Linked DNA regions of Tribolium castaneum. The protein of the gene in region 2 interacts with the protein of the main gene of each other region in a pairwise test. Links are inferred from orthologs where the notes say so. Each region holds a gene or a part of one and is shown on either strand. Other genes may lie near its edges. The genes, in order: nej, ci and cos.

Region 1 (11,252 bases), on a different chromosome or scaffold from region 2:
TAATTAACCCCCTGACCTGCCAAAGCCTGGTTTATTGTTTTTATCAGGAATAAAAAAAATTAGCAATTTTTGTGGCGTAATTTGTGTTGACCCTGACCTCGGGTCATGTTTTGACGGTGGTGCTGCCACCACACCGGTGAAAAAATGACTATGAAGTTGTCAAATCAAGTCAGATAGTTGGTCAAGATGGCGGAAAGCGAAGCAAAATCCGGCGGTTTTCTTACAAATATTGTCTTGGAAATCGTCCAAAGTCCCGTAAACATTCTTTTAGTGTGTCTGATCGGAATTCTAGTGTACAAAATAGTGAAAAGCCGACAAGATGTGCCTCAGAGTCGCCAACCCGAGCCGGAGCTCCCCAAATTGAAAAAAAGAGACTTTACCGTTGAAGAACTGAAAAAATACGACGGAAACCAAGAGGATGGACGCGTCCTCGTGGCCGTCAACGGCAACGTCTACGACGTTACAAAAGGGAAGCGTTTTTACGGCCCCGGTGAGTACTTCCCAGCGGCCATCATGATGATGTCACACTTTTGGTTCAGGGGGCCCTTATGCGGCGTTCGGCGGCCGCGACGCCTCCAGGGGGCTCGCCACCTTCTCAGTCTCGGCAAAAACCGACGAGTACGACGATTTGAGCGACCTTAACAGCATGGAAATGGATTCGGTCCGGGAATGGGAGGCGCAGTTCAAAGGTAAATTGCCGGCCATGGAGATAACGAATAACGCAACTCATTGCAGAGAAATACGACCTCGTTGGGAAGCTACTGAAGCCAGGCGAGCAGCCCACGAACTACTCTGATGATGAAGAAGATGAGACCCCAACGGGCGCGGGCGATAAAAGCAAAGATGATTGAATTTGAGGCTGAAAGACTGCTCTTCTAGTGTAAAAAAATATCTTCGTTTTATATGATCTTGTTGGCTTTTTTAACATATTTTTTAAGGATGGTTCGTGTGATGCATTTCCGGTAATTGTTACTTATGTGAGCTTCTTTTCAAATTTTTATGTAACGCTAAAGTGGTAACGATTCGATTCCAGTTTGTGCATTTTCTAATTTTAAGTCTCGTCATAAATTACGGTCCCTTTTCCGCCAATAAATTCGCAATATTGTAACAACACTGCAAATGACGTATTTTATTTTTGTGTTGGGTAATTTTAAGATTTAGCGAGTGCCACAAGTGGGTCAAGGTTACAACACACGTTACCAACTTCAGTGTGGCTTTAGTTGGTAACATGTGGCACTTTTTATTTTAGGGGCTACAGTTTTTAATATACGGCACGTTTCAAATGTCTATTTTCTTAACGAAACACCAGTACTTAGGTAACACAGGACCGTACTTTGTAACATTTGAAATGTACCTTTCTTTTATGACCAGCTACATAATTATGGTGTGTGTATATAATTGTATGTATGAAGAGTTTTTGAAGAAATTATACATGTTAACGCCTACTTTATGTAAGATTTAAAAATGAAATATCTCTTTTAATAGGAATTTTAATTTATTCCATTGCCATAAGTCGCCAACTCCGCCTCATACAGAACCGTATTTATCTTATGTCTAACTATGCATCTTGTCCTATCATCCGGTAATTTCCTAAATACGTGTGCAACTAATTCGCCAAAAAGCGACCACTCGTCTTTAAAATTCTGTGTTTCACACTTATTTTTTTCTACTTCTGAAACATCAACAAAACATGGTGATTCTGTCACTTCTCCGTTTTCACTTTCTTCGTCTTCCAACACCTCTTCGCCTATTTCCTAAAACAAAACAATCACATATTCGTAAACCAAATCTGGACCCATACTCGTTTAATATTAGGCATAGCATTACTTTCATTGGACTGTTCGCTCTTGTTCTTATACCTCTCCAATAGCTTGTTCATGAAAGAAAATTCCTTGTACCCGTACCACGTAGTTACGTGGAACTTCCCAGCTTTCTTCATTTGGATGGCTTTGAATCTTTCCCTTCGATACTGCGAGTTGAGAATTTTCATCTTGCGTTCGACCTCGAGCCTGCTGCAGTTGAAAATGTTCGCTAGTTCGAGCCACTTTGCGTGTTTCCGGGACCTGTTCTTGTAGTCGTCGCAATCGGGGTCCCAAAGGGCTGGCCGTTTGCCAAATTCTCTGATAAGGCGCAAGACTTCGGGACAGGTCCATTCGGGGGCTTGGGGCTGGGTTGTGGGCTCCATGATGGGCGAAACTGGGGTTTTTCATCGTGGAGGAAAGTGTGCGCATGTTGCCAACGTAACGCGAACATGTATCGCGAACACGAGAGAATTTTGGAACATGTTATTCGCGATTGTTGCGGTTAATAAAGTTTTTGGATAATCAGTCAGATTTTTATTGTGTTCCCATTAGCATTTCTGCAGAATAATCATCCAACGACTTTAATTTAGGTACCAATTCGTCTCGGTATAAAAATCAAAACTGAGAGAATTCAAATAAGCTCAAGTCGTTATAAAAAATAAAAGAACGACGCATATTTCCAAAAAAATAAATTAAATCTACACCTAAAAAAATTACCCTTATCCTACAAATGTACCTATTTTCATATTAAACGTAAATTAGTTTTCTAAACTACTACGACCTGAAATGGGATATAGAGCTCTCTTCTTGCATTTTGACACAAAATTGCTTAAAAATCTTTGAGTTGGGTAGAAATAGAAAATGGTGCTATACTTATGTACCTTTTTCGAGCATTGAAACACTTCTAAACCCTTTTTTGGCGAAACACAACGGTACTATTAGCTAAAAATTATATTTTCAAGCATTTTAGCATGTGTTCTTCAGTCAAAAATAATCAGAAACGCAATTGTTTTGCTAAATGTAAGCAAAAATACGCCGAAAAATCATAGAATTATATCGCAAGTGGTGTTATTATTGCTTTCTTGAACCGCAGAACGAATGAAAAGTAACTGACTTTTGAGTTAAGAATTTCAATATTTTTGCTTTTTTAACTGTTGTTTTACTAAAAGCGCGACTATTTCGAGGAATTTCGTTCAAAATATATTGCCTCGAAGTCAATATAGCTTCTTGTGGATCGAAATATCAATAGTGAACTTTATTCATCATAGACATGAGGTAAAACAAAACAAACTATGATAAAATGTTGTACTATGCAAGAATTATATAAAAAAATTGCCCCTAGCCTAAAAAAAATCGTTGTGTAGCTCGCATTCTTTTGTAATCAAATTTATTCGTGTTTAATTAGATCTTTCTCAAGTAAATGACAACTTAATTCAAATTAGTCTAATTAGTTATCAGTTATAACTTATAATTCTTCGTGTTATATTAAATGTATTTGCCATTTGTGTTACAAAACTCAAATAACTCGTGAATTTGAAATTTTATTACGATAAATAATGCGATCTGCAAAATGTGAGAATAAACTTACTGTTTAATATTTTTTTGAGCCTAGCGGCAATTTTTTTACGTAATTTTTACATGAAACAACATAAATAATCTTCGCCGTTCATTTCTGAATTAGAAGAGCAATTAGCAATTATTAAGTGCGCTTAATATTAATTTAATATTAATTTTAATTTAGTATAAAAGAATTGAAGAAAAATTCTGAAAAAATCCCCATGAATAGTGAAAATAAAAGCACTATAAATACTCCTGGATGTGTGATTACTATTTAAAATGTTATTAGTTTTTGAGATGCCAGATTTGAAATCACTTCCAAGGGTAAGACTACTCTTAAGAGACTCAGACTATGAGTAAAAGTGCTTGTGGCGCTTAAAATCCTAAGCTTTTTGAAATATTTTTATGTATTATTTTGGAAACCTTATCGGACTTGACAACATCTAAATAAATTTTTTTCTTCCGGCAAATAGTTGTATCGAGCACCTAATAAAAAATTTTTTTGTACCAATATTTCAGAATCCAAAAATGTTTCTCAGCTTGTTCATTTGTCATCAGTAACCGAACCAAATTGCTATAAAAATGTGGAAAATAATAAGTGGTAGAAATATACAAACAATGCGACAAAGAATAGAAATTATTTAATTTTATATTATGAAAAAAAAAGTGTTTCCCAGTGGGATTTGAACCACGACCCAATGGTGTGTGTCTGAAAAAATATTTTCAGTAAAACTAAACCCAAAAATCTTTAACATCCACATTATATCTACGAATTTCATTTGGGTAATAAAGTTGAGAAAATAATATCGCTTTTTGTCACGATGCGCTTTCTTTAATAAAAGTTGTGCGAATTTTTTTTATTTTATTACAATTTAGATAAACCCAATTTGGCTGATAAAAATAATCTGCAAATAAATCGATAAAATTTGCTTATTCCAGATCGGATTTTTCCCAAGATTTTTCACAATGCCCTACTTCTGGGTACCCGCTCTTTGTTTGTGTGTATATCGTTCTTTATTCGAATTTATGTTCTTCTGACCAATAAGTATCAAATAGAGCCCTCCATCATCCATTGTTGCGTCCAGCGTTCCTTCTAGTGAGGCGGCGTCGGGACGCCGCAGCGTCCCTCAAACTTTCGCTCCATTTATTCCGAATTTTTGAGGTGCATTTTGAGTTGAGGTTTTGGAATCGTGCGCGATTTTAGTTGTTGGAGCGCATTGTGAGCGTCAAGGTTCAGCGTTCGGCTGTGTTCGGGTGACGTCACGAGCGCTGCGTCACATCGTGTTTTCCGGGAGGTTTGCGCCAATGAGGAGGGCGATCGGCGTCACGTGCCCGCTCTGGGCCAATAGCCGCGCGATTAGTTCGGATTAGATGGAACAATTCTGACAAGCGTAGAAAAAGTTTCATCAACAGCCGCCATTTTGCCTGTTTGAGAACGCGTTGAATTTCGGATGAATTCCGCAAATCGTCGGTTTGTATGTAAATCAAAGGGTTGTTTTTTGGTGGGTTTTCGGCGGGGACGCTGATGTAGTGGTGCGAGCGCGCCGATGTTTGTGAAAAAAGTGCGGAAAAGTGCGGAGTGATTACGGCCGAGAACATTGTGCGCCTCCGACGGAAGATGGTGAGAGGTAGAAGCGGAGTGCAGTTGAAGATGGCCGATGGTTGACTGTTGACAATGTGCCTTGAGTCAAAGGACCTGATCATGTGTTTTACGCGCGAATAGTCACGCTTTTACTGACCATGGCTGACCATCTCGTCGACGGACCCCCGAACGCCAAACGGCAGAAGCTGGACCCCTTCCAGGGGCCCTCAGACTCCTCAGGTGAGCCGCCCCCAGACACGGGCGCATGCATGACACGCCGGACACCGGCAGATAACCGCACACCTAACGACACACACACTTTTATTAATTTTAATCGTAACTTAAAGCTTACTACGGCCCGGCCATGGGGGGTGGTGGACACGAACACGACCAGCACCAGTGGAACATGAGCCACAATCAAAGTAAATACTCAAATACCTCGAAAAACCGACTAACTCTAACGAAAACAAACAAGATTTTACTCAAAATGCACTCACTTTGTGTTTTCGTTTTGTGGCTTGTTTTGGCGCTGCTTCTCTATTAACTAACAGTGATTTGGTTTTAGTGCGAGATTACAACAAAATGCCGTAGAAAAAACTCTTCTGCTTTATTACGAAAGCTACAATTACGCAATCTGATAATTGTTATCAGGATTTGATTGTAACTGAAGAAAAAAAACAGCTGAGCGGCGTCCCCAAAACGTGGATTTTTTGTTTATATTGAGACAAGTGGTTCATGTCCTTGAACATTTCTTACATCTAACATAAGTTTCAGTTTATTTAGGGCTACTTGTGGTAATTTTAAAATTACTATATGAAAGTTTCGTATTTTGACATTTAATATGTTCAGTGTTTATTTAGACTTTAGTGCTTACAAAGATATTAATAATTGGTTAAATACTTCTTTCTTGTTTCTAAATTATATCAACAGTTACTCTAATTGCCAATGTTCTCTCTCTGAAGTTAATAGCGTTTTTTTTTTAGAACAAATGTTGATTTGTAAATTTTTTCTAAAGATCTTTTTTTATTAAATTTAACTTTTATTTAACAAGCGTTTTGAGTTTGTTGCAAATGCAGTCTCATTTGCTTTTTATGATTTCATTCTTAAAACTATCAAATCACACACATACTTCATTTTTTGATATTATCCTAAAAAGGCACTTTGTGGTAAACATATTAATTAATTTAATTTTTCCAAAACTGCAATTCATGTTTTTTTAGAAAAGTTGTTTTGTAAATATTTTCTAGTGTTTTTTTAAGTGAATTTAACAATGTATGCAACACTTTAATAAGTTTCTGATGAGTTTGATCTCATTTGATTTTTGTGGTTTGATTTCATCGAAAACTTTTTATTAAATCACATAGTTACATGAGCAAATTCCTTTGATTTTATTTTCAAGTAGCCAAGCCGTAAACGTTCTTTTTAGGAAAAAAGAAAATTAAGAAATTTATTCTTGCTAACATTTTTTTTCTAATAACTAGGGATATGACTTTGATTTATGCTTTTTTTAATCAAAACCACTGTTTTCGAATCTTGTTCAATTTTGTCAGGTTTGGGAAAAACACTTTCCAAGCTAGATTGGATCAATATTTTTAAATGAAATTGTGTTCTTAAGTTTTCTTGTTATTTCTTGTGTATAACATTTTTTGTTTTTGGAGTGTACTTTTTCCACTAGGGTAACAGCCGTTTCGTAAACATTTTTTTGTGAGAAAATTTAAGCAGAAAAAGTACATTTCGTGTTGCCTGCCAGTCCGTTATTTGTTTATAATTTTTTGAATGTTTTTGTGTTAGATGTTCTTTCGAACATGGATATGTTCGATCTGGAGAACGACCTTCCTGACGAGTTGATAACGCCGACGTCGTGGCCGATCTCCGACAACATGGGAAACAGCAAACCGCCGCCTCATGGTCCCGGTCCCGGAACAGGGATGCAAAATGGGATCGACAGCGGTGACAACAGTAACAATTTACGCCAACTTCAGCTCAATATGCTCCAGAGCAATAAAGGTTTAATAAGTAACGCACTGGCAATGGCCGGGGGACAATTAGGCAACAAAAGTCCTAATTTACAATCGCCACCCAACGTTTCGGTGGCGAAAGGTAATGTCGTGGATCAAATGAATTTGGGGAGTTTGGCGTCGAGTATTTCGAATAGTGGTGGATTACAGTCAATGGCTAATAATGGAACGTCACCACAAATTATGAGTTCAATTCAAGGTACAAAATGTGCGGCAGTTTTCTGGTGTGATGGGCTTTTTAACGGTGGTTTTGTTTCAGGGATGAATAATAGTGCCGGTGGTAATATGATTATGACGAATAGTAGTATGAGTACTATGGCGGGAATGGCTGGAGGTGGGTTGGTTGTTAGTAGTACGGTGAATAAACCGTTGGCAAATGCGACGAATATGTTGGCACCGGGACAACCACATCATCCCGGGAACCATACAGTACCTCAACAGGTAATATAAAAAAAACTGCTATTTTTAATAAAGTGGCAAGGGTTCAGGGTTTGAAAACCAATCAATGGTTTTTTAATTTAATCTTTACCTTGCCAGAGCATATTGTGACGATTTTTTTCTTTTTTCGTCTAAAACATACGAAAAAGGGTCGAATCGTTTCGTACATTTTTTTCTTATACACACTGTACGTATGGGAATGTTTCTGAAATTTATTGTTTTCGTAGCCAATGCAAAATGGTCCGATGCTGGGCCGCGTCACAATGCAACATTTGAACGCGCGCGCTCCAGGCCCCCACGGCGTCCATCCACTCGGTACCCGGATGCAAGCCCCGGGTATGATGCAATTGGGCGGCGCTGTGGGCCAAGGAATGCCTGGAAATACTCCTTATTCATATCCCAATGCCGGACCTCAAGGTGTTGCCACACCGCAACCTCACGCTAATAAATTAGGACTTCCTCAAACGAGGTTCGGGGGACCTGGAGGTCCCGTCGGACCGGCCGGAGGCGGCGAAGGTGGAATGGCACCAACTCAATTGCCTGCACCCTCACCTGCCCAACCCCAATCCGGAGCTCCATCCGGAACGCAACCCGGACCGCAAACCGCCACCCAAAACCAGGGAGCGGGACCGCCACCGTCTTCGACGGGTAAGTGTCGCTTTGATCTCGATGTGTAGTTAGTGCATGCGCTGTCTTACGTTATTCTTCATATTACTTTATCTAGCAGACCCAGAAAAACGAAAGTTGATCCAACAACAATTAGTGTTGTTACTACACGCACATAAGTGTCAAAGACGAGAGGCGCAAGCCAACGGTGAAGTGTGGCAGTGTAATTTACCGCATTGTAAAACGATGAAAAACGTTTTAAATCATATGACGACGTGTAATGCGGGAAAAAGTTGTTCCGTGGCGCATTGTAGTTCCTCGAGACAGATTATAAGTCACTGGAAGCACTGTACGAAAATGGACTGCCCGGTTTGTTTACCATTGAAACAAGCCGATAAAAACCGAAATAATAACCCTAACGGTAAGTCCACACGTACTTCACTAGGGCCCGAAATTAATTTCGGTGTTACAGCAACGACTAATCCGCCTCAGAGTACTCAGTCGATTAACCCATCGGACATGCGTCGTGCCTACGATGCTCTAGGCATGCAGTGTCCGACGACGGGGGCAGGTACCGCCCCCACGGGTCTCATTCCCAACGCTGGCCCGCAACGCCCTTGCATCCGATTACCCATCGCCGGCGGTCCCAATATGGCCGCTGGTCTGGGAGTCAGAGGGATGGCCCCCGGCGCTGTCCAACCCGCCCCCAACGTTAGTCTACCTCTCGGTAGCGATTCGGCACAAAATACCAACCAAGGAGTGAGTCAAGTCGCCGCGAATCTCCAACAAAGCATTTCGATTTTCGGTCTTTCAAACGACGGCACTGGACAAGGACTCATTGCACCGGGAGGGTTACAAGCCGGTCAGGTGACCGCATCACCAGTTCAAGGGACCAAAGAATGGCACCAGTCGGTCACACCCGATCTCAGAAACCATCTGGTGCATAAATTAGTACAAGCGATTTTTCCAACACCCGATCCACAAGCGATGCTCGATAAGAGAATGCATAATTTAGTAGCCTATGCGCGGAAAGTCGAAGGTGATATGTACGAAATGGCAAACTCGAGATCTGAGTACTATCACCTTCTCGCCGAAAAGATTTACAAAATTCAAAAAGAGTTGGAAGAGAAGCGACAAAAAAGAAAGGAACTACAACTACAACAACAGCACACACAACCTCCACAAATACGACCAAATTTGCAAGGAGCCGTTCCCGGAGTCGTCACGAGACCACCTGGGGTTCCTGGAGGTTTACCACAAGGCCAACAACCAGGATTACGTAGCGGTTCTCCCGCATTAGGTAACATGGCCACACTGAACCAAGCCGGAGGTCGCTTATTCCCAGTACAACAAAACCAAAATCAAAGCAATGTCGTGGGACTTCCAGGCCCGAGTCCCACTGCCTCAAATCCGGGATTATCGCCATTCGGCCAACCAATGTCACAAAACAGTAACGCGTCTACGTCAGCAGGTAACCAGTTCGGTACTTCAAACGGACCTGTGAGCCTTCCTCAAGCATCACCAGCGAGCTCGACTCAAAATCAGTTTAACGACTTGATGAAAAATCGTCTCGCACCTTCACCCTCCGCTTTTGGTCTTCAATCTCAAATTCAAAATCAAAACCAAGTCAATAATAATTTAAATGCGACTCGAATAACGCCAAATTCGGAAACAGTAATGACGCCGCACGCTGCCGGCCCCAAATCGGTGAGTTCGTCGCGGGGGCCGTCACCAGCACCTGCCACCCCCGTGCAATCTTCACCCGCCACCGCAGCCAGTCTGGGTAAAGGCATGTCGAGTGCAGAACGAGCGGCTCAAAATGCACCAAGACAGTCGTCGATGTCGTCTCAGATGGCGGCGATTACGGCGGCACATGATCGCGACGAAGAGTCGCCTTCGCCGCCTCCGAATAGTATCAAGGGGAAATTGGAACAGATGAAAGAGGAGAATTCGATGGACGTTAAGCATATAAAACAAGAAGTTGAAGAAGAACCTGGGCAGAGTGAAGGTGGGAAGAATATAAAGAACGAGATGCAGATGGATATTAAATCAGAAATGAAAACGGAACCAATGGATGATTGTGAAGGAAAAATCAAAGAGGAGGTGTCTGATGGTTCGTTGGACGTAAGGCCTTCCACTTCGGACGGGGCGTTAGTACCGATGGCCTGTAACGTGGACAAGAAACCGAAAAAATGCTGTAAGGAGACTCATTATTATTGATATATTTTATGTTATCTTGGTGTATTTCAGTTTTTAAATTTGACGAGCTTCGCCAGAAGTTAATGCCGACTTTGGAGAAACTCTACCGACAAGATCCTGAAAGTCTGCCGTTTAGACAACCGGTAGATCCCCAAACTTTGGGCATACCCGACTACTTTGACATTGTAAAAAGACCAATGGACTTATCTACGATCAAAAAGAAACTTGATATTGGTCAATATACCGACCCTTGGGAATACGTCGACGACGTTTGGTTGATGTTTGACAACGCGTGGTTGTATAACAGAAAAACTAGCCGGGTTTATCGATATTGTACTAAAGTAAGAGATCAAAGTGTGCGCCTGTAGTATCACTGTTTAATGCAAAAAACTTGTTTATTTGCAGTTATCTGAAGTATTTGAAATGGAAATCGATCCGGTGATGCAATCCATGGGTTACTGTTGCGGCAGGAAATACACTTTTAATCCGCAAGTCTTGTGTTGTTACGGAAAGCAATTATGTACAATTCCACGCGACGCCAAATACTACAGTTATCAAAATAGGTGGGTATTTGAAAGTATGACAGGGCTTTTTTAATTGGGTCATAGTCAATTTAACGTGACATCCACCCCTTCACATTTGTCGGCAAAAAACCAATTGCATGCACGCTTGGTAGTCACCTCAGAAAGACCTGTGGGTGTGGCTAAAACTAGCTAGAACCCTCCAATAGTCTATAGTTTTGACGTCATTTGTGTATAGGGTGGTTTAGCTTAGCACTCGACGCTTCTAACACAAATCATTTCTTTTTTTCCCGTCCCGTCCACTCACTCCATGCCATAAAATTTAACAAAAAAATCTCGGCTTGGTGTGTTGTGCTTGCGTGTCTGTGGTGCAATAAATGTACACAGTCTAAAAGCATATGGACTCGGCTCCGACAGATACACCTTCTGCCAGAAGTGCTTCAACGATATCCAAGGCGATACGGTAACCCTAGGCGATGATCCGACCCAAGCGCAAACGTAAGTGATTCAATTTCCATAATTGAACGCC
Region 2 (11,213 bases):
ACAAACGCTGTATTGTAATCTAACGAGCTTCCTTCCGATTTTTTATCGACGAGGTAGAATATCAATAAGACCACACATGGCCAGTTATAGACAACAAGGAATTATTGTTGTGTAAAGGAAGATATTAGAGTGAAAAGTCGAAGCCCATTAAAATGCCACGACCGTTGAGCCATCAGAAAATTTACATTTTTATTTAAATTTTTACGACGGAAATTTGCACATCTTAAGGAGTAATAAAGTTGTAAAAATATTTCGCGATTAAGAGGACACCCAACTTTGAAGCCGTCCGCGCGATTTTAATGTCCGCCGACACCGTCCATTACTATTCTCTCAAGAACAATCTGATCAATTCTATGACTTCTTCTTATACAAAATCAAAGTAGTGCAAACGTATAATAAAACTATAACAGTGCGTACGGGGAATGTTTTTTCAATTGGCTCAGAGCCTACCTAATAAGTAGAAGCCATCAGGCAAATACGGCCAACGACAAACGAGCAGAAAACGAGAACACGAAAAAATCTAGCGAAACGGCTTTTTTAGCCGTCCGTTTAATACATATAAATCGTCATTATGTGCAATGGCAGCATAAAGACATACCAACGAGAATGTAGTTCTCAAAAATAATCGCCGAGCACACATCCATACGTCAATCCGAGATAATATACGACCTGCCTTTTGCAAAACGTGTACGCGGTCTGTACGGTTGTTCCCGTTTTTACCCAAGTGAACAAGTCTGTGATATGTCGGCATGAGCGCCGAGACGATATAAACACACCGTTGCTATTCCGGACCAAAAACTCGGACCACATAACAACCACTGTCATCGCACACAAGATACTCGCCGAAATTTCATCGGAATGCTTTTAACCTTCTCCACCAAGTTTTATGCCAATTGAACCATTGATACACGCACCACTATTTGGCTAATTAAACGGTGTCTTATCGCAAATGGTCAGCCCGATGGCCGCTTTCAGCCGAAGACGGTCGTAAAAAATTTATGTCTTGCCCGAACCTCTTCGCGATATGGTGATAATCCAGTGGTTCTTCTAGGTGTCTGCACTATTAACTTCCATAAAACAACGAACGCGTACACAGGCAATCTCGAAAATTAAAAATGCCTCCAATCATTAACGTTAGTTTAGTTAATAACAAGCAGCTGCTTCGGTCTCTAACGTAATAACCATCCTTAAAGGTGTAGATCTTACATATTACATTGTTTCAAGATAATTGCAAGTCGTACTAGAAGTCTAATTATTGGCTTTTTGTAACAAACGACCCTCATATTAACTAGGAGAGCTATTTTACACTTATTTTGACATCTCATCACGCCACATGCCGTTGAAAATTTCTTCATTAACTATGAATCAATGTTTTCATTAACGTTCTTACAGCGATTGGATTCTTGCGAGTTTCAAAGCGAAATTTTAAAAATTATGCTCTGGTACATATGATACCAAAATAACAACGTGTATCAATACATTTTGGCCCAAATTGTCTTCTAAATTCTTGGTAATTACTCATTAAACTATATATAACTATAAGATCTATAAACTGAAAAAACGCCTGTCAAATTTTGGTCGTGCATAAAGGACCCGCTTTTCCCTTTTTTTAAGCATTTATTTAACTTGCTTAGTTGTCTGTCTGTCTGTTTCATATTTTCCGAGCCAAATTTAAAAGGGTTCCTGTTATCCGAATGAATTGAAATTTTGCGTACTTACGTAATCTGCCTGACAATGTAATCCTATATAGTTAATAACACCCTAAAAGGTTAGCGCATTATTAAATATATTAAAACTTAATCATTTTCACTACGTTTCGTTACAAAACAAATGTCGCATTTTTTTTTTAATTAATTTATATTGGACGATAGACCACACATCAGCTTGTAAACATCAGCAAAATGATGCAGCGAAACTAAATCTCAGAGAAAAAGTCGATTAGAATAAAACTTTAATAAGACTAAAAAACAAAAAAAATATCAGTTTTTTTGCCCATTTGTGGATTATTTTAAAACGACCAAATACCCTATAACTAAAATGTGAATAAAATCATTCTTCTCCTCGAACTGTATGAATTCAACTCGAATCGTTCATTTTTAAGAGAAATTAGCCAATTAGACAATCTTTCCTCCACTGATAAGTAACCCACTTGACCAAAATTCCCCCGAGATGTATTATCTTGTACTTTATGACACTGGAATGATTTTGCAACACTTAATTTTATGATGGTTCTTCTGAAAACAATGTTCGTGATATGAGATGAATGACTTCCGCCAAAGTGTTTTTAGACCCTTGAGAATACTTTTGAAAGCAGAATAGCCAGTTGTGTTGTAAATCAATCTTAGATATTCTTAGAACAGAAGAGACACAACCACCAATACTTCCACGAAGTGTTAATTCAAAAATATGTTCTGGTGAAATGAAAAATTAAATAATGCATTGCTGAAATTGGTGCAATTTCGGAAAGCAATCACTGGTTCAATACCGAATTCGCGGAACCGATTGGTATTATAGTTCGCACAAGATCAGCTCGAATAATAGCTACTGGAAGGTTGGTATAATTTCCAATAACAAAACGAGCATATCGACGGAGCTTTTGAACAGGTCTCGTATTCCTATTGTTGTCGTGACAAGAAGTTTATAATGTGTAATCCGATTACATTTAAAACTTGATCCGATCTAGAAATTTAATTTACAAGTAGCGATCGAAAATTAATCTGCAATTTCATCGGCCTTCAATCGTCGCGAATTGTGCGCAATTCCCATCCTCATTATTCATCTTAGACAAGACAAAAAGACGTTCGGACCAATTCCGGACAAAAGGTTATTGACTAAGCAATTTATTTCGCTCAAATCGTCTCTTACGCAAGCCTTTTTGACACCACGGCTTCGTCCACAGGTGTATGCTGCGTGTCTGGCGATGTTGTTTGCCAGTCATACCGACCAACATACAGAGTGTCCATTTATCAGTCGGATTGTCCTGTCAATACCCACTGATCGGAGTTTCGCCCTCCTGCCGTCTCCAACGGCCGTGATTGGGCTGGTTTTTGTCACGATGTCCGTTGCTTTGTATTGTCAGCCGCATTCTTTCGGACATGTCTATATATCAATCGCACTTTCGTTAGAAAATAAAGAAACGCCTGTTCGGAATGATCCTCAACTTGCTCGCCAACAAACACAATTGATTTTTTCTCCACCACCGAGCGCTTAATGGCGGCTCCGCGGTGCGTGCACCAAATCTGGACTCGCTGCATAAACATTCCCACGTCGTAATTTCACTATTTTGGTTGCTAACAAGACGACATAATGATAGTTTAAATTGTAAATAATGATCCAGCCCGGCTCAGTCACCCTAATTGCTTCGGCACAACTTTAATGCGATCCAGGATACACACGGTACAGTAATTTCACTAATAATACACCTCGAGTCAATTAATAAATTGATAACACTATTTATTCCTTGTAAACACCTGCATGTAAAGCTTCACACCCATCACTTGCATGACAAAAATTTTAAAACCGTGTTGGATACGGTGTTGCCAAAATAATTTTGAAATCACTGGTAACTTTATTATACAGCGTGTCTCACCTAAGACTTTCGAGCTTAATATCTCAGTTATTTGTCAACGGATTGTTATGGAATTTAGAATGCACATATTTTAAGAGGTGGTTTTTCAATTACCTCAAATTAAAAAATGTAATAACACACGTTTCTTTTATTTAAAATTAAGCCCAATTACCATTGGAACACTTGACTACACAAAAAATTAACCACGGCTAATCCAAAGAAAAAATTTTTGTTTTGTTTTGTTGTTAAAAACTCGATCCAAAGATTGAAAATATTTGAGCAGTCACCTTTTGAAACAATTGATGAAGCATTGCTAAGCAGCATTTTGTGCACCACTGAAAAACTGTCCAGTGTGCCCGCTGTTAGAAAAGTAATTATTGGAAAACGACTAAATTTAGGTATAGGGTAAGCTGATAAAAACTCAGTTAAAATAACTCTATGTTCACACGGTGCTACTGCTATGTTGGAGTTTGAATGCAATGCGGGCAGGCTGATCATAGCACTATTAAACAAAGCGAATAAGTTGTAAAAATGTTTGAATAGTTTATTCCATATATCAAGTCGCGATTTTCTTATTGCGCCGGCATTATAATTGAAACATAAGCCAAAGTCATTGTCTGCGAGACTGCGGAAGACCAACAATGCATCCAGTCATAATCGATTTACCAGTGAATACAAGCACACAGTATTAAGGCTGGTAGGTGTTTTAAGGCAAGATAGTCAAGAGTAATTATGCGTGGCACTTGTTTGCACACAAAAGTGTAGGATGGTGACAATCAGCAAGTCTGGTGTGGGAATGTCAAAAATTCGTTTGATTCTTGTCTGCGAGGACAGTAATTGGAAAGTGCCGAATCACTGAATATTGTTCGGCTTTTAGCTAGCCATCCTTTTGATCATTCGGCTGAAAATCTTTTTATATCTCAATACAATGAGACGCTGTCACATCGACACGACTTTTGTTTTTCGATCATCGCATTCCTTACAAAATTTCCCGCGACCTTCGAGCAAACGTTGCACAACAATTGAAAAAAGCACAAATCGGGCGACGACTACCGGAGGTAAAGTCCGTCGGACATGAATAAAGCCTGACCATCATCCCAAATTTAAGACCTGTCCGATTGTGAGCACAAAAGAGATCATGAGTTTGTTGAAATCCTAAGGATTTCAGGCAATGCGTCAATGTTACGTGCTGTCGATTCGGAGAAAAGAGATTGTTAGGGACGGATTGAATGGCTTTCGGTGGGTCTATACCTTAACGATGTCGTTAAAATGTTTGTTATTTCGGATGTTCCGGTCTAAAATCCCTAAATAAATCCTACAAATTGCAGAAAATCCACATTAGAAGATGTTTATTTACGTCTTGCTTTAAAGTCTTTAATGGATGAGGGAGCAACTCGTAAAACTTTGTTGCGTCAACGTAAACACTACCGGCTTGTTTCATCACACTCAAAAAATTTAAATAATAACTGGAACACTGTCAAATTTTTCTCCACTCTCAATGCAAGTTCAAACTTCCAAGTCAATAATCATAAATTATCCTTTCCTGGATGATTACCGACAATGACAAATTTACGTGTCTATAGACAAAGAAATAGGATCCAACCGTAAACCAAAAGAGCCAACATCGAACGTGATTCGACACTTTTTGTATCAGCTCAACAAATTGTCTGATGGACAGACGCATCATTGTAACGAAAAATTCACAACCAAAATAGGCACCACCAACTCGAACCATGATTTTATAAAAAGGAAAGGACACCAAGAAGTAATTTTTAATAGCATAATAGAAAGATATGTTTTTTACTGCGTTCTTAAATAACTCGAGTTACTTCAAGAGGTTTTTCATCCGCTTCCCTACACCTAAATTAATCCGTTTTCGAGATATTTACGAGTTATTTTTGAAAATTTTCAGATTTGCATCTTTGACTTCAAAAATCGATAACACTGACGTTTTTTGAGTTTTATAAATCGTATTTGGATAATCAAAGAAGAAAAGTACGTTCCTTCAGTATGTTCAAAATATGGAAGAAAAGTTTACCATTTAGTTAAATAAAAATTGTGGGATTTCATTTGAAAATTTTAAGTTATAGGTGTTTAAAACGTTCTGCAAATTTAATCTTAAAAATTTACTGCTAACTTTTTTTAAAAAGAAAACACCCAAGAAAACATTTATTATACCTTCTCTTTCAAAGCCAAAAAAGTTTTCCAATTTTTAAAACCGGCAGAGTTATAAAGTTTTAAAGTCAAAGAAGCAAATCCAAAAATTTTCAAAAAACCCTAAATATTTCGAAAACAAGTAAATTTAGGTATAGGGAAAGCTGATAGATAAGTACAGCTTCCGATTGAAAATAAAAAAGTTGATAACGACTTCCGGTATAACCGGAAGTGCTGCCATGTTCAAAATATTTTCATTGATCAGGACCTAACGGATTAAGGTTGTGTGTAAATTTTTAGATGAGTATCATTATTAGAACTTCTAATGTGGGGTTTAGACGGAATAGCCTGTTTTTTTTAAAAATATCTATGCTTAAGTATGATCTCTACTTACTACTTTCTAGGTGTGAACCTGCCTTTATGTTAACAAATATATTTTTTTTACAAATAAGAGAATGAAACTGGCTACTCAAAAAATTCACCTTTTGCGAATTTGAATATGAATATAATTTTAATCAAAATCTTCTATTCTTTCAAATCTTCCTTTCTTCAATAATTAAGCACCATTTGGAAGTTGCTACTTAGAGAAAAGTAGCACTGCTGCTAACAAGTAGTTACCTTTTAGCTTGTCTCACTGTTTAAAACGCTTGGAACATCATGAGGGTAATAAAAGTGGACCGAGTCAAAAATATCTTTTTTATTACAGTTGTAGTAACAGTGATACCTAGAGAATCCTCTTCTCTCTAGAATTGCTTTTTAAATCAATTCGCTCTTTATGTTTCTTTGTTTTTATTCAAATTTATGTTGACCAGTTTTTGAGATAAAAACGTAGTCAAATGCCGTTAAAAACCAATAGCGTCATCTCCGACAATGACCAGAACAGTTATACATTATTTTCGGACGACCACTTCCCGTTGTCGAGTTGGTTTCACGTTCCCAGCCATTAATAATGAGTTTATCTTTACGTTTCGGTGATAAAAATTTAACTCAAATTGTTAAGTGAAGATGACCTCTATACGTAACAAACTTTTTTAAATGTTATGGAATGCAAAAATTAAAAGCAACAAGTTTGCTTCTTCTTCAGTACGATTTAGAAAAGAGTTCAGTGTATATGACTTGATATAGATATAGGTTTTTGCTCAATTGCCGTTCCGCAAGTGTTGAGCAGCACTGTCAGCGTGCTGGACTCACCCTGGCGGCGTGGGATGGTGGAAGGGCGCTCCTGGCGGCTGCATCCTGGGGTCCCAGACGTATCGTCCTTCGTGCGTGCGTTGGTCAACGGGAAGAGGCGCGTGGAAAGCCGCAAAAGCCGACGGGAACTGTAACGGTAGACCAGCAGACATAGCGGCTTGAAAATCCGCCTCCTTTTCGGGCATATCGCACTAGTCACATCACTAAATTGTGTCACAACTGATTGTCACAAAAACGCGCTACCGGTCATCAGCGCTGTCATCTAGCAATTTCTTAGCTAATTGGATATGTCTCAATTAAAGGCTGCGGCACACGAGTTCGCGGTTTTCCGCGCCGGAGCATCGCGATTTGAATTTATTTTTATGGGGCGGTAATTGGGCTTGAATCGGTGCGGGTATTATCCAGTCTAGACACTTAATCCAGGCACTTAGGGCAATTCGGAGCGGCTAATAATAGGAGAGGCATCGTCGCGGAGGCACTTGCTGGTGATGCGTAAGGCACATGCTTTATTTGCTAATAGGTATAGTACAACACAACCAGCCTATAGACTACGGACAACTAACTAGAGTAGAGGCAGGCGAGTAGTTGACAGGCAGGCCTTACAACTCAACTAACGAGTGTGGAAGAAGGGAGCCCGGGGAGGGGCCAACCCAGACCGACTGCGAGGGAATGGACTCACATTCTGTACTCTCTTATTTACTCAGTGGCGTAGCAGCGAATTAGGAGCCTCCATTTATATCAATAAACCTTCCATTTTCTAGGCTTCTCACTCGCTACGATTTCATAGTTATATCGCTTTTCATTTCTGAGATAATGAAAGTTTTTGCTGTACGAGAAATGAAATAAGGAAAACATAGTAGTAGTGTGTAGTTAATAAAAGTAAAAATGTGCTACTTTACGTTTTGTAACAGTCTGTAAATAAACATGTAACATATTTTAGCTGAAAAGAAAAACAAACATCAAATACACAATTGTGCTAAGTGGATTCTGAATGAAATGTAATATCATGTAGGTAGTTTTTATATACTCATGTGTTTTAACAATTCGTTAAGTTAACAAAGTGTAGGCACAAATACGGCAAACTATACCTGTAATCAAATTTGTATAGTGTAAATAGTGTAAATAGTGCAAAAATTGTATGAAAAGAATTGGACACGTGGACATTTTTTGCCTAAAACCGGAGCATACACGCTTATGCTTTTTATAAATACAGAGTGTATCAGAAATACATGTATTAATTTTAACAAGTAACAGAACTCATCAAATAAAACATCCTTTCCATTTGTAATTGTTCAAAAAAAATTCGCAAATTTACTTAAAATTTGAAAAAAATAACATACTGAAACGTCTACCTATAAAACCTACCCCTTTTGTTCCCATTGTCTCCAGTAAATTACTACAAAAGCGTAAAAAATGCGAACTTTTCATTTATGGCTTCAAAAAGAGGATTATGTATCTCATTTAAAAAAATGTTGATAATGTCAAACCTTGGACCCTCATCTCTTAGATATGAAATCAAAGAATCATAGGTATGATGAACGGAAACAAGAACAAATTCGATTGTCCAAGGATTTTTTTCACAAATGTGTAGATTTCTATGGTCATTGAATCGAGTTTTATAATTCTTTTTGTTTATGAAACAGTGGAGCTCATCATTTGCTCTAAATTTGTTAGTAGAATCCAATTATAACATTCTTCTTTCCAACGTAAATCAAATGTTTGTGACCAATTTCACCTCATAAAACGTCTTTGTGACGTTGCCATCAAAGCGATAAAAAAGAACCGAGGTATACCTACATGAGAAATGAATCAAACAATGTAATTTTTTCTATTTACAAGTATATGAGGTAAACAAACACATTTATTTAACGTGTTTGAGAATAACGTCTGCATTTCAATACCTTTACTATGAATATTCCTACTAGATAAAGCACATTTCCATTCAAGCCATTCATAATGTTGTGAATTACAAGATGTTCAATGAAAACAATATAAACTCAGTCTTTACGTAAATCTCCACTTAAATGGAATACAAATTTTGTCATAAAGGATACAACAAACATAAAGACAAAAATCAAATATGTATAGATAATTATGACTATTACTCGTAGTACTCATAGTCAAAATTCCCTTCAAACTTAAAAAAAATAGCCGATTTTCCTTTTGTTGCAGGTTTTTTAAATTTTATTTGATAATTTTTGAAAACTATGTACGATTTTGTCAAATAAATGCCGTTAGGTACAAAATTAATAAATTTCCGCTAGACGACTAAAAAGCCCAATTAGCTAAATACAGTCGAACCTCCTAACTCGAACCTACATAGTTCGAGTTACTGAAAATTAGTGCGACCTATCAAAAATAACAAAAATAAAAAGCAAATGGTAAGTTTATATAGAATAAGTATGTTTTAATAAGCCAGTATAAGAAAAATTATCAAAATATTTTTCAACGAAAATAAAAAAGTAATATTTGACACTACATAGTACATAAGCTACAAAAATATTTGTTTTATTTCTGATGCTATTCTAAGAAAAACGATGACTGTGTCTTAGGTAAGCGCAAAAGTAAGTACAAAAATTGTCGTCATACCTTACCTAGTATAAAGGATAGAAGAAATAGTACAACTTATTAAAAGGGTATGTCAAAAAGATTTGGATATCAAGAAATTCGAGTTTCATATAATAAATACTGTTAGGATTTCGTAGTCATTTCACATTCATTCCAGTTATCAAAAACTTCGGATTATTGAAGTTTTTTTATAGTTTCAATGAGAAATATAATAATCAGCAATAACTATTTTACATTTTTATCAACCTTATTTAAAAAATAATTTGGTAAAATGCGTTGGCATTTCCGTGGTTTTGAAACAGAGAGTACAGCTGTACTCTACTAATAAAATATCTAATAAAAACAAAGATAATTAAATGAAAAGCTACAAGAAAATTTGAAAAAATTGAAGTTATGACAAAGGTCAAAATTTGTGTTTAGAGGTGGTTTAAAGTCGGGTTTACATCAAAATTAATGTAATAAGTATAATTCTAATCTACTAAATTACCAACTAAAAACGTTGCAAATTTTTTGAAAATGTGGACAAACTAAAAGAAGCCTTTTCAATTTTGAAAAATATGTAATCGAGTTCGTATTGGAATATTGACAGCATTCTGCAGACGCATGTCTCGTAAAATTATGTGAAAGTATCTGTACTTAGCATTTAAAAAAATATAAGAATTTTAGAATTTCATTAAAACAAGGAAAACGACCAAATTTTTTACAATTTCTTCAAGAATCGTCAGATTAGGAGAAGTCATTGTGAAATTTGTGGCGAAGAATCCACCTTGCGTGTGAAATTGGGCTCTCCGCCGCTGGCGGATCGAGAAGGCCTCTACTAACTTCATTAATGCTGTAGACTGCGAAAGATGCCCTGTTCTAATTGAAGAAGAGTGAGACGAAACAAGTTAGACCCGCTCCAACACTTTGGGGTACCGCTTATAATTTTACTAAATTAGTGTTTTTTGTGCTCGAAATAATAACAAGGCGTCTTTACAAACATCTGGTTGAAATATAAAATACCTATCATGACAAAATTCCCCAAACCTGCTCTTTCGATCCCCGATTTTAATGTGTTAATTTACATTCGGACGTCTCTGCATGTTTATTTTTGAGCTTTTCTAGATAGAAATATTTTATAGAGCCCCCGGCCGCTCGTAAATATTTGCCTACATTGTAATTAAAATTTTAATTGTCCTGACTTGTTAATTTATTGATGTATCAATTTTCCCGGACCCATCGAGATTCTAACTAGGTGATAGTCCTTAAACGGAAAAATAGTTTTCGCTTTTGTAATTTACACTTGGGAATGTGTCGGAAAGAAGAATTTCAAGCTTTTGTCCACTTTTTCAAAGCTAGAAAAAATTCCGCGAGAGTCCTTGAGTATAATGAAATCAACGAGATGCCAATTCGAATATTTATGTCCAGGTCAAGCAAAAACAGCATGCAGAATTGGGAATATCTCAATTGGTGGAGCTGAGGTCGGTGATGTAATTTCCGTATAATTCCAATCCAGATCCGATATTTGCTCGAGAACATGAAAAAACGTAAAAGCCATCCTGTGGTTCAGCGATGAGTTTTTCATAAATCCTAATTTAAATGTTTACAAAAGCATTACAAGAATTTCCTTGAAAAGTGCTGATGTAATAATAAGTCCGGCACGACCGGCACAAAATCGGCCGTTCCACAAGACCGAAAACCTCACAGCGGACACACTCGAACACGAAATGAAAATATAGATGGATAAGAGAGG
Region 3 (11,252 bases), on a different chromosome or scaffold from region 2:
TAACGCTTGGTCTGGCCTCTGTTCTCCGATCCCGTGACCTGGAATATTCCTCCCTTTTCGTTCGACGATTTTTAAATATAATTTTTTTGCCAAATTATGAATTTCGAGTGCGCTCAGATGAGACGACAGCTTTGTTTTCCCAACTGCTCCAGAAATGTTTACGGTGGAATCGATTGGTAGGGTAGAGAGAGGACCACACCTCTCGGCGGGTGCGGAATCCTCGTCTCTCCTACGCTATTTAACGCCAAACATTGCCAATTTACGACTTTGAGAAAAAAAATTCGCTCGGTTACAAAGAGAGCCCAAGCCTTCATACGTAATCGGATTAATGCGACGAAAGTGGCTCGGAATCTAATTAGCACCACTTCCGAGATCGATATTATAGGCCATTAATTTTAATTTTCATTTTCGAAAAATCTCAAAAAAACGCCAATTATTAGATGAAACGATTTAAAAAATTGGATGAAATATTAAACTTTGATATATTTTAGCCCTGATGCTCTTATCTCGGCGTGATTCGTCCGCCCGATTATGCAAATATTTCGAATGAATAACGATCGTCTCTCATGTTTTGAATCCTCGACAAAATCTGCAACTCTTATGCTATATCAATATTGACACTCCCAGAGTCTGAAACGTCTCAGCATTTAAAATTTCTCATCTTAATCAAATTACATCGGCCGACATTTCCTGGAGATGTTTTTCGCGTATTTTTTCGTCGGTCGCATTTCCATTACAACATTTACAAACTTTTAATCCGTTTTAGAACGCGGCATCACTTGACGTTCTACGTCGCCGCCGTGTAAAAAGAAAATTCCTCTTGATTACCTCTCCTCGAAATTAAAATTCAAAAAAAATGACTCAAAGAAAAGAAGATGGGCATTATTTACCGTCAACGTTAATTGTTCGAGGGTGGAATAAAGTCATAAGCGAACTAATTCGGCTTCCGAATTATACACCCTGTCACCTACTCCATTCGACCCTCAAGCCGATCATAAACCTTTAACTAATTTCGACCCGATAAATATCCACCTGCTCAACGTTAATGCTTTCATTATCTCGTTATTTATCTAGACAGGAGCAGGAGAAAAAGACGGCGAGACGCCCTAATTAGACTTTCGCGATTTTTTACTGGAGGAAATCAAATTTTAAAAAAACACCGGCAGGTGAGATAACTTTTAGTTGTTCGGAAAGATAATGCGAATTCCACAACCGCAAAAGTATCGAATTTTAAAAGGAATGTGGGGTAAAATGATACACTGTTTGGGTTGTAAACATTTATTAATCTTTAGGTATGTGAAGAAATAAAGAGAAATTCTAGTTAATCAAACCGAAACGACCCCACAAAACAATACACACAGCACCACTTTAACCCACCTTCCCCAACTAACCACTAAAAATTTAATGCAAGTGATCAAAAAATGTCGTTTTCGTTTTTGGATCACCCCATTTTGACCACCAAAAATTAAATAAATATTTATCTAACAGTAATTTGTTGTTTCATTTCCCGCTTATCAAAGTAAACCTGCTTGTTCACCTTATCTCTAATACACCATTTTCTGGAATTTACCTTTATAAACTTCAAAAGTAAATTATTCACTTGCTTTCGTTCTAATTGAAGCGGTAAACGGTTAATTTATAAAAATACGCTTGAAATGAAACCTTTCATTTTAACCTTTAATTTCTTTGTATTTTCGGCATTCAGATAATCCAATGAAGCGTAAAACACCAAAAAATTAAACTGGTCTACTGTTAGCCAACAAAAACAGATGCTGGCCATGACAATCGACAGACTATGATACCCCATGCCCAATTTATAGAAAAACAACTAAACCTCGTTACATTTTTACAGTAAAAGACCCATTTAATTGTGGCAAACAGATAAGATTTTAATGAGTCATAAAATGTTAAAATCCAATTTTACTTAATTTTTGCCAAAGAACCAAAAAATAAAAACCCAAATAATTACAAATAAATAATTCAGACCAAACGAACAAACTAAACCTTGTTACATTTTTACAGTAATAATACCCATTTAATTGTGGCAAACAGATAAGAATTTAATGTGTCATAAATAAATAAGCAATAAAATGTTAAAATCCAATTTGACAAAGAACGAGAAAATTAAAATCCAAATAATTATAGTAACAGGAAAGTTTATTATCCGTAGGTTAAAAAGTTAGGTCAAAAAGTAAAAAAGTCTTATTATGTTCAAACCGAACTTTAGATAATCCCGACCACGTTCGGCTTAAAAAAAGTCCACTGTAATTCTTTAAACCCAAAATTAAAAAAAATGCTCAGCAATGAAAGTCACTGAACTTACGAGAAAACAAACACAAACATAAAAACCAAATAATTTGTTCCACGGGCTTAATAATAGTCTTATGGCCACAGGTAGCCAATAATGAAATCCTAAATCATTCGTTTACTATTCTAGGGTCCATTTGTTGCCAATAAAACCCTTACTTTAGTCAAGATTAACCAAAAAGGAGATACTATGGATTAGGTAAATACCCCACGAAACAGATAATGCCAGACTTGGCAAAAACCCCTAAAGTGTTGGTTGACGAGGGTACATTTCCCTAATCGAGCAATCAATCAAAAAAGCAAAACTGGTGTCCGTGTAAACCTTGTTTGATAACAGGTACCTGCACTATCGAAAGCATTCAATTCCACGTTGTATCCTCGTCACGCCCACCTCATGCATGTTGCAAAACAACAACGTTTCGTCCCCGCCAACCCTCATCAGGGTTTTGTTTACTCTAGCCCCGGCGCCGCCACCAAACCGCCCCCACGACTTACCAGCTGCAGAACAGTGTTGACCACCTCCCGGTTGGACACCTGTCCCACTTCAATCAGTCCGATTAAAACGGCGAACTTGAGACTATCGTTCATTGCCATTCGCACCACCTCTTCGGGGTGCTTGATGTCACTCAGGGGCGGTTTCGTCAAATCCGCCATGGCGTTTGCTCAATCCCGACCCGCACACAACACACTTTTATCACCAAGGGGAACAACACCAAACACGATTTTTCACCATCACATTGCTACACGAAACTACTTCTGCCATGTTGTATATGACAGGCCGGTTGTCGCAAAATGGGGTTTTTACGTTCGGAGGGTTGCAAGACGGCGGCTCAGCTGACGGCTAACCGCCGGAGCCGATCACCACCCCACGCTCGCCCGTGCCCACGAAATACAAATAAACCATTCACCCGCATGACGTATTCAAGGCAAAACGCAATAATAATTAACTAATGGAAAGTTTTGCAGCGTTTTGAATTAACTCATAGTTAATACCAGTACATGATCACTCAAAAGCCACGCTTGCGCGCCAAATTCCTTTTACTTCTTGGGCAAAAATGAAAAAAAAAAACGCAAAACTGAAGTCATCACATTTATTTGATAAACCACGATTACATCATTATTGTCCTACCCTAGCCTACAATAAATTACAATTAGTTCTTGTTGGTTTTCTGCAGAATGATTTTGTTTTTCTCAATGGTGACCTTGGCCTGTGGGGGCACCGATTGCAGCTGTCTCGGAACGGTCTCCTGGCGGTATCGCGTCCACTTCGCTATGAACCTATTCTTGTCCACTTGTTTACTGGCGCCTGCCACTTGAACCGTCACTGCGGAATGTCTCGACCCCAAGACCCGACTTATCCTCTCATTATCAGCCCCATCTCCCGTCAGGTTCCTCAAGACCAAGTACAACTTGTCTTCGTGTTGTTGCTGGAGCGAGGCTATCCTCCGTTCAGCGTCAGACCTAACCAGTTGTAAGTTATGACTGAGTTTTTGCACACGATATGCGAGATTTTCGTGTTGGTTTTCAATATCCAAAATCTCCAAATCGAGCTTTTTGCTGCTGCTCCTCAAATCGATAATCTTCTCGAAATATCTATGAAGGAGGATCCTCATTTCGTTCTCACTCAGTTTGAGGAACCGCTCCATCAGCATCCGATCGCCATGATCCTCAATCTCTTTGACTGGCAGGTGCCCACACAAAATCGAGTTTTTGTATTCTATGATCAAGTCTATTGCCTCAATAGCCTCCTCGTACTGCAGCAACTTGCGTTCGTCGGAGTCGTTCAGGAATTTTTTATTCTGGGATTTGAGCGTGATTTTGCACCGCAATTCTAATAAATAGTCGCGGGTTTTGCGCAAGTTGCGAATTTCGTGTCTCAGACTTTCAAGTTCTTCGCTATTTAGCGAAACGTTTGGTTTAATTAAAGCAACGACTTTAACATCGGGGGTTTTCGGCACGCTCTCGCAACTCGCTTTCGACTTAGAGCGCTCCTCCTTCAGCTGTTTCTCGTAGATTTGTTTATACTTTTCTTTCTCTTGTTTGTACTTTTTCAACTTCTCCCGATCTGTATGTAGACTACTTTCTAATTCTAGCAATTTGTTCCCGTCTTCGGTCAGGTTTTTCAACGATTCGGTGTCTCGCAGTCGCTCCTCAAGGGCCACAACTTCGCTCTTGTATTTCCCTTCCAAGTGGTGATTTTTTTGTAATTTCGCTTGCAAGAACTTGACCTCGGCGTTTTTATACTCCTTGCGTAACAACTGGCATTTTTGTTCGATTTTATGGTGAGCACTCGATTTTGTGTCTTTGTGCTTCAGGAGCTTTTCCATGAGGTTTTCCTTGACCCGAATTGTTTTTTCCAAATCAGAGATCTTTTTTTGATTCAATTCTAACGCAGTGGCGATTTGTTTAAGGATTTTCTTCTTGTTATCGTACGACGTAACTGCGATTTTTTGACTCTCGACATCGTCATTAATACGTAACGTATTGAGGGACAAGCAAGGGTTTAGTTCTTCAGCCGAGTGGATACTCCCTCTGCGCCCCCGTGCCCCCTTCATATGATACTCATTATTCGAGCTATTCATACTTTCTTTGGTACAAGAATTCGTAACGTTTGCACAATTAGCCTCAGAGACTAATTTATCGGTGTTTGAGCGAAAAGTCTCCATCAAACCTTGAACCCTATCAAGGAGACTCTCCTTCTCCTCCTCCTCAATCGCCTCGCTCTCACTACTATCACTCTCAATTTCCTCCTCAATCCGCTCGAGTGATCTATGAGGCTCTGAATTTTCACTCAAACAGTCTTCGCATTCTTGTTTGAGCATCAACCACTGTGATATTTGTTCTTGTTCGCTTTTTGGTAACAAGTCGTTCGCTACCAATCGTTGGAACAACTCTTCAGCGTTCGAGACAAGTTTCAGGAGTTGATTGGCGGCGAACTGTAGGCCGAAAACATCACAATTCTCTTGTGTTGACTCAAACGTAGCGTATGAGTTAACAGTGACGAAATTTTTGATCATTTGAGCCCTCAAACCCAACTGAAGTGTATACAAAGTCTCGGTGAAGTCTTGAGCAAGGGGGGACACGCAACAGATCAGAAGTGTCTTTGCGCGCCCCCCGAACGAGTCTTTCAGTAGTGTCGTCAAAACGGATTGAGTGTACGGCACAAAACTGCAGTTAAAATCAGACAGCGACATAATACACCTCTGTAAAGTCTGTATCCCTAAATCAGTGGGAATCGTTTGCATCATCCCGTTGCTGTCATAAACTAGAACTTTCTCAGTCCCTGCCAAATCGGCAAAACTCGCAGTTGAGACGCGATGTTGCACACTTGTCTCCACCACCCACTGCTGCTCCAAAGTGAGTGTGAACAACGTGTGGGCGCACTTGGGGGCTATATTCGACATTCCGACTTGAATCAACTGAAACACGTCACTGATATTCCGGCACTCGATGCTCCCAACGCCTAGCAAATCCTGGACGTTTTCGCCACAAATCTGCGACCAAGCGATATGCACGCACCAATTCCTGTCTCTGTATTGTTTCATTTTGGCGAAAACTTCGCGAATAAACCGCGGGATAATCCCGTGATCAGCCTCGCTAGCCGCACAGTGGAAACCTGGGCCTAGGAGCGTGTAGGACTTTCCAGTCCCGGACTGGCCCAGCGTGACCACCGAAACATCGCACCCTTCCACCAAATAATTCACCAAAGGGGCTGCCGTGGTTGTGAACACCGTGTTTTGGCAACAGTCGGCTGGAAGGGCGTAATTGACGGGGTAGTTTTGCGAATTCGCGAGTTGGATGGTGTTGTTGACGGGGTTGGAGTGCACGCAAACCATGTCGTTGGGGGAGTAGCCCGACGTATGGATGCGGACCGCCGTTTCTATGTGCATCTCCATCCTGGGAGAATTCAACCCATTGTATAACCTAAAATTTACAATTGAGTTGGGGGCTGGATAGTGGTGGGAATTACATAATGGGGGCGAAGTACCTGGCGGTTGCGGCGGTTTGGGTTAATTTATTAAAAATCAATGGATTTTAAATGCATTTTACAGCTGCCTCAAACAACACAACTGGGGAGTTTGGGTTTAGCACTAGGAGGGAACAAAATGGAGGATTTAAATAAAAGCGGCAAACGAGTTAATTAATCATTTTTATTAGACTATTTATGAATTAACATTTTTATTTCTTCTTCAAAGGCCCCCCTAAGTCGTCCAGTTCCTGTTTCAATTGTTTCAACTCCGTGTCAGGCACGTATCTAATCTCCTCGTCCCACTCTTCATGAGGCCGCACGTGGACGGTGATCCCCGATGGGGTACTAGCCTCCAGTGCACGTAAAATAACAGGCAACTGCAAATACGTGCCAGTTTCAAGCATTTCACTTTGAAAAATTAAATACCTGAGTTGATAAAACATCAGTAATTTGTACTGTCCGATCATAGTGCTTCAAATTGTACTGTGTGTTGATAATTTCACTCTTCGGTTTATAGGTCGTGACTTGAATGTCTTGATGGGGGGTTGCCCAAGCTTCCTCCACACTTATATCCATACTTCGCAATAATTTATGAATAAACTTTTGATAATTTTCCAATATGGCATAATCGTAGCCACGAATTTGAATATTTAAAGTGTCGTACATTGGAAGATTCGATTTCATGGCCTAAAAAATGTTTTTTGGGTAACTTTAAGAGGTTATATTTGGTTACCTCGAGATAATCGGGCTCGTAGAGGTTGTTCCCGAATGATTTGGGCGTCTGGTGCAAGAAACGGCATTGAAGAGCCCTACGTGTGACCCTCAATAAATTATTCATAGTATAAACTGGAGAACTTAAATTCTTTAGCGGTTACCTCCAACAAATTTGAGGTTATGTGGTCCACTTTTTTTTGATTTTGATTATAAATAAAGATAAAAAAACAACAAAACCTTTATTTAAATTTTTCTGTTACAAGATGTAAATGTAAACGTTACAAATGGTCGCTATCTGGAGACTATGGAATGTGATTTGCGTAATTGCCGATTATTAAACAGAAAAATTATTCCTTTACTTTGAAGATCTTTTGTACGTTACATAAATATTCCCTCCTGATCGCATATTGGTAATAAAAATAGAGTTTTCTACTAAAGTAAACATACAAAATCTGGAAAAAATATTTGTGGTTCATAAAAACAGTAATGACTCGTCAATCTATTAATTACCAAATAAATGCAGAGACTCGCCAGAATGAACAAGAAGTAGAGTCTGCTATCAGCTTTAGCCTACGATTGAATACTTTACTTTATTTCTCAATAAAAGACAATTTACCTTTTTCACTTTGACAAACGGCAAATATTGTGCTATGTAATATTCGTCGCTTATTTCAGGCAAGTTTTCCGTCACTAATTTATAAACCTGATCCATGGCAATCCCCATGTGGTTCAAAACGGGGCTTACATGATGCACATAGAAAGCCACAAAAGGCCCAACGTACGTATCAAAAGTCTGGTCAAGAAATTGCCTAAGCGATTGTGGTGGTTGTTTAACGCTTTCAGCGGCTATATTTTCTCCAGTCGAGATAGTAAACCTCGGAAAAGTAAAGTAACGGGTGCAGGTTTTCTCGTTTTTACCTAAAAATACCGCAGTTATGGATTGTTACGCATAACCGACTCACTTGTCTCGGAGCATATCGGGAAGTAGTATGCGTGTCCGAAATTTAGGCAAAAGACAAGAAAAAGTGCTGAAATGACTTTCATCACGATGATTTTTCTAATAAAATTATGCCAAACAAATTTTGAAAAATTTAGTAACTTTCGTTACTAGGTTTTGCGCTAGCAACTTTAGCTGCGTGAATCACGCATGTTGGCGAAATTGTACGGTTGTGATTGAAAAGGAGCTGCGAAAGGGGTGAACGAAAGGGGAGTTCGAAATTTAAATTTATTCACGTTTTGGTAATTGCCATTTAAATTTAATAATCAATACTGCAGAAAAATACGTGTTTGTTTTGGTGATTTTCGTGTCAAGGTTACTTGAGTTGGCGACAGTTTATTGTTGATTTATTGTGCAGGTTATCTTGCGGAAAATCGGGAAATTGCAATGTTTAAAAAATGGTTTTCGTTGGCATGCATTCTAATATGCACTTCTTTGATCACCTGCCTCCCGGATGAGGGCAAGTGGGACTCTAACCTGACCGTGGTAAGTCCCTGACATCCCACAGGAACCCCTCAAACGTCACACCTGATTTTACAGGACGACAATGGCCTAATCCTCACCAAAAGTCTATACAAAGGGGCGCAAATCTTCATTAAAAGTAACCGCCAGAACTTTCTGTATTTTTTAAATAAATTCGCAAATTTTTAGTCAATTGTGACACCCACATCCGCGAGCTTGAAATCAACATAAAAGTGGTGATAGTGCCGTCGCCATGCTGGGACTACAGCAACACGATAAGCGAGGCCACCGAAGTAAGTTAATAAAAACGGTTTTTGTACTCATACAAAATTGCAGCTGATCAAATCACCGGCACCGGGGGCCAACTCCTCGTCCTTGTACCGCTTCACGCGTGCGTACACGTGCCCCGACCACGTCGTCATCGACAGCGCCCCCCTCACCAAAGACCACTCGCGGCCCCCCATCTACGAGATACCCCACGACGGCGTCTACGTCCTCGTGTTCCAAATGAGCGCCCCCTTGAACACCTCCGACTTGACCGTGGGGGTCCACGTCGAAATGAAGAGCGATTACGGGTATCTCTCGGCCGCCGATTGGCCCCTTTTGCCTTTCTACGGCTTCATGTGCATTTTCTACGTGATTTTGGGGGTCATCTGGCTCATTCTGTCGTTTCTGCAATGGCGGGATTTGCTCAGAGTCCAGTTCTGGATCGGGGGAGTTATCCTGTTGGGGATGTTGGAAAAGGCGACTTTTTACGCCGAATATCAGAGCATTAATAACACAGGGATGCGCGTCCAGGGGGCTATGCTTTTTGCCGAGTGGGTCTCCTGTGCCAAGCGCACGCTGGCCCGAATGTTGGTCGTGATTGTAAGTCTAGGTTTCGGGATTGTTAAACCTAGACTAGGCTCAACTTTGCATCGGGTTGTTGGGGTGGGCTTCTTGTATTTTTTCCTAGCGGCGTCTGAGGCGTACTTGAGGATAATGCGGCCGAAAAATGACCAAAGTCGCGATTTGTTGGTCGCTTCGGTTCCACTTGCAGTGTTAGATTCGGCGATTTGTTGGTGGATTTTCAGCGCTTTGGTCAACACGACAAGGACTCTCCGCTTGAGACGCAACGAAATCAAGCTGAGTCTCTACCGCCACTTTACCAACACTCTAATCTTCGCTGTTATCGCCTCAATTTGCTTCATGTTGTATTCGATTAAGACGCATCGCATAGTTCAATGTTTAGTCGTGTGGAAAAATCTCTGGTTGGAGGAGGCCTTCTGGCACATTCTCTTCTCGGCTTTGTTGCTCGTGATTATGATTTTGTGGAGACCCACGAATAATAATCAGAGGTACGCCTTTGTGCCGCTTTTGGACACGGGGGAGGACGAGGAGGAGGAGCAGTTGGTCAATGATGCCTACGGGGTCAAAGTCAGGATACACCACCCCAAGGGGGCCTCACCGAGGAGCAATTCGGTGGATGATGATTTGAAATGGTTGGAGGAAAATATCAAAAGTGATCCAGCACTGCCGATTTTAGATTCGGACGAAGAACTAGTCAGTACGAGGTTTGAGGTCTCAAAGATGCAGTAAATGTGCCACGAGTGAAAGGAGTGTGAGGGTGTTGAGGTCGGTCTTAAATTGAACTGACATGATTACAAGATGGTTAAAACAAAAACCGCTAACGATAACTTTTTTATGGAATAACAATTGAGTTTGAAAGTATTACGGAATTTCAAATTGGTCGTCTTGAAATCGTTTCAGTTTATTTTCCTATTGATGGCCGGCCTATTTATTACTAATCTAATTGGCAAACACATTTCAAAGAGTCTTCAGTATTAGCATAGTTATTATCTTTTGTTATGTATTGTGTACGACATAACGCAATGACTGGATTTTATAAAACTTCAGTGATTTATATTAAGTCTGTACATACTTAGCACATGAATGTTATTTAATTGTTTGTATTGTATATAATTTGTTGCTATAAAATGGCTTTCTTGACTTAATAAACAAATTTATGCTAACTTGGTTGGTTTGACAAAAGTCCTCTTCCTCTTCACCTTCTGGGTAACACCAGATTTGTGCAAGTGAGTTTGCAATTCTGAGAAAATTTCATGTTGCTCTTCCTCTGGAATAGTCCTCCTGGGAAGATACATCTTTAACAATGAAACACACAAAAAAAACTTACATGTATTGTTTCATTAAATCGTATTTCTCCCACGGTGTATCCACCTCCTTTGCCTTATCATAGAACCGCTGTGGCAGCTCCAAATCCTGCACCCCTTTCAGATGCTTCCTCTCCCAGCGGTCCACCCAGGGCCGGGGCTTCAACTTAACTTTAATATCGTTGACCGGCACTGGGGCCCCTTCAGGCAAAATCTCCACCTCCATATTGGGATCAAAAGTGCTATATTCGGGCAACGCGTCCCTCAAATACAACAACTCCCCATCAAGTCGTTTCTCAAGCCGCAAAACCTCGATACTCTTAATTGTAGGATCGTACAGCTCGTACAAAATCTCAATCCCTTGATGGTCTATTACATTCCGAAGGATAAAAGTGGATCTCAAGCCACAACCTTCTCTTTTGATACAAATCCCCACAAATCGGTTGAATTTACCGGGGGTGTGGGGGTCCGATAACGTCACGGCAAGGATAGACCCTACATAAAATTCAGGAATTTCAATATTTGCACGTCTAGCAATCATATCACTGCGTTCAAGTTTTTCACGGATCGGGTTTCGGAATTCGATTTTGGGGTCTGGGAGGAACTCGGGGTAGATACGGCGAAGGTCGGTTACGCTTTTGCGGGCGGC

The links.
Region 1: the proteins of ci (region 2) and nej interact in a two-hybrid assay, tested with the Drosophila melanogaster proteins (3 studies listed by BioGRID). The link is inferred for Tribolium castaneum from reciprocal best matches to the Drosophila melanogaster genes ci and nej.
Region 3: the proteins of ci (region 2) and cos interact in binary tests that used the Drosophila melanogaster proteins (3 or more experiments, as listed by UniProt). The link is inferred for Tribolium castaneum from reciprocal best matches to the Drosophila melanogaster genes ci and cos.

What each region holds. Positions count from the first base shown.
Region 1 is NC_087402.1:7,103,004-7,114,255, forward strand, and holds the start of nej (CREB-binding protein), read left to right. Parts: upstream 1-4,506; 5' UTR 4,507-5,099; coding exon 5,100-5,181; intron 5,182-5,288; coding exon 5,289-5,363; intron 5,364-6,732; coding exon 6,733-7,167; intron 7,168-7,218; coding exon 7,219-7,400; intron 7,401-7,624; coding exon 7,625-8,045; intron 8,046-8,121; coding exon 8,122-8,424; intron 8,425-8,475; coding exon 8,476-10,200; intron 10,201-10,253; coding exon 10,254-10,543; intron 10,544-10,607; coding exon 10,608-10,765; intron 10,766-11,110; coding exon 11,111-11,221; intron 11,222-11,252. Other genes in the region: membrane-associated progesterone receptor component 1, read left to right, coding at 187-490, 540-689, 736-851; uncharacterized protein LOC103312726, read right to left, coding at 1,491-1,754, 1,802-2,185.
Region 2 is NC_087394.1:31,426,847-31,438,059, reverse strand, and holds the start of ci (transcriptional activator cubitus interruptus), read right to left. Parts: upstream 7,547-11,213; 5' UTR 7,099-7,546; coding exon 6,914-7,098; intron 1-6,913. UniProt on the Drosophila melanogaster protein: Has a dual function as a transcriptional activator and a repressor of the hedgehog (Hh) pathway. The full-length ci form (ciFL), acts as an activator (ciA) while ciR, its C-terminally truncated form, acts as a repressor. Involved in segment polarity.
Region 3 is NC_087402.1:2,903,320-2,914,571, forward strand, and holds cos (kinesin-like protein costa), read right to left. Parts: upstream 6,411-11,252; 5' UTR 6,280-6,410; coding exon 6,278-6,279; exon of another isoform or gene 6,232-6,277; coding exon 3,459-6,231; 3' UTR 3,385-3,458; downstream 1-3,384. Other genes in the region: mRpL48 (large ribosomal subunit protein mL48), read right to left, coding at 6,487-6,654, 6,704-6,964, 7,011-7,115; uncharacterized protein LOC103312599, read right to left, coding at 7,339-7,443, 7,502-7,561, 7,608-7,909, 7,954-8,035; transmembrane protein 87A, read left to right, coding at 8,376-8,474, 8,529-8,589, 8,640-8,743, 8,787-10,028; mRpL19 (large ribosomal subunit protein bL19m), read right to left, coding at 10,454-10,580, 10,627-11,252. UniProt on the Drosophila melanogaster protein: Regulates cubitus interruptus (ci) processing by recruiting multiple kinases to promote its efficient phosphorylation.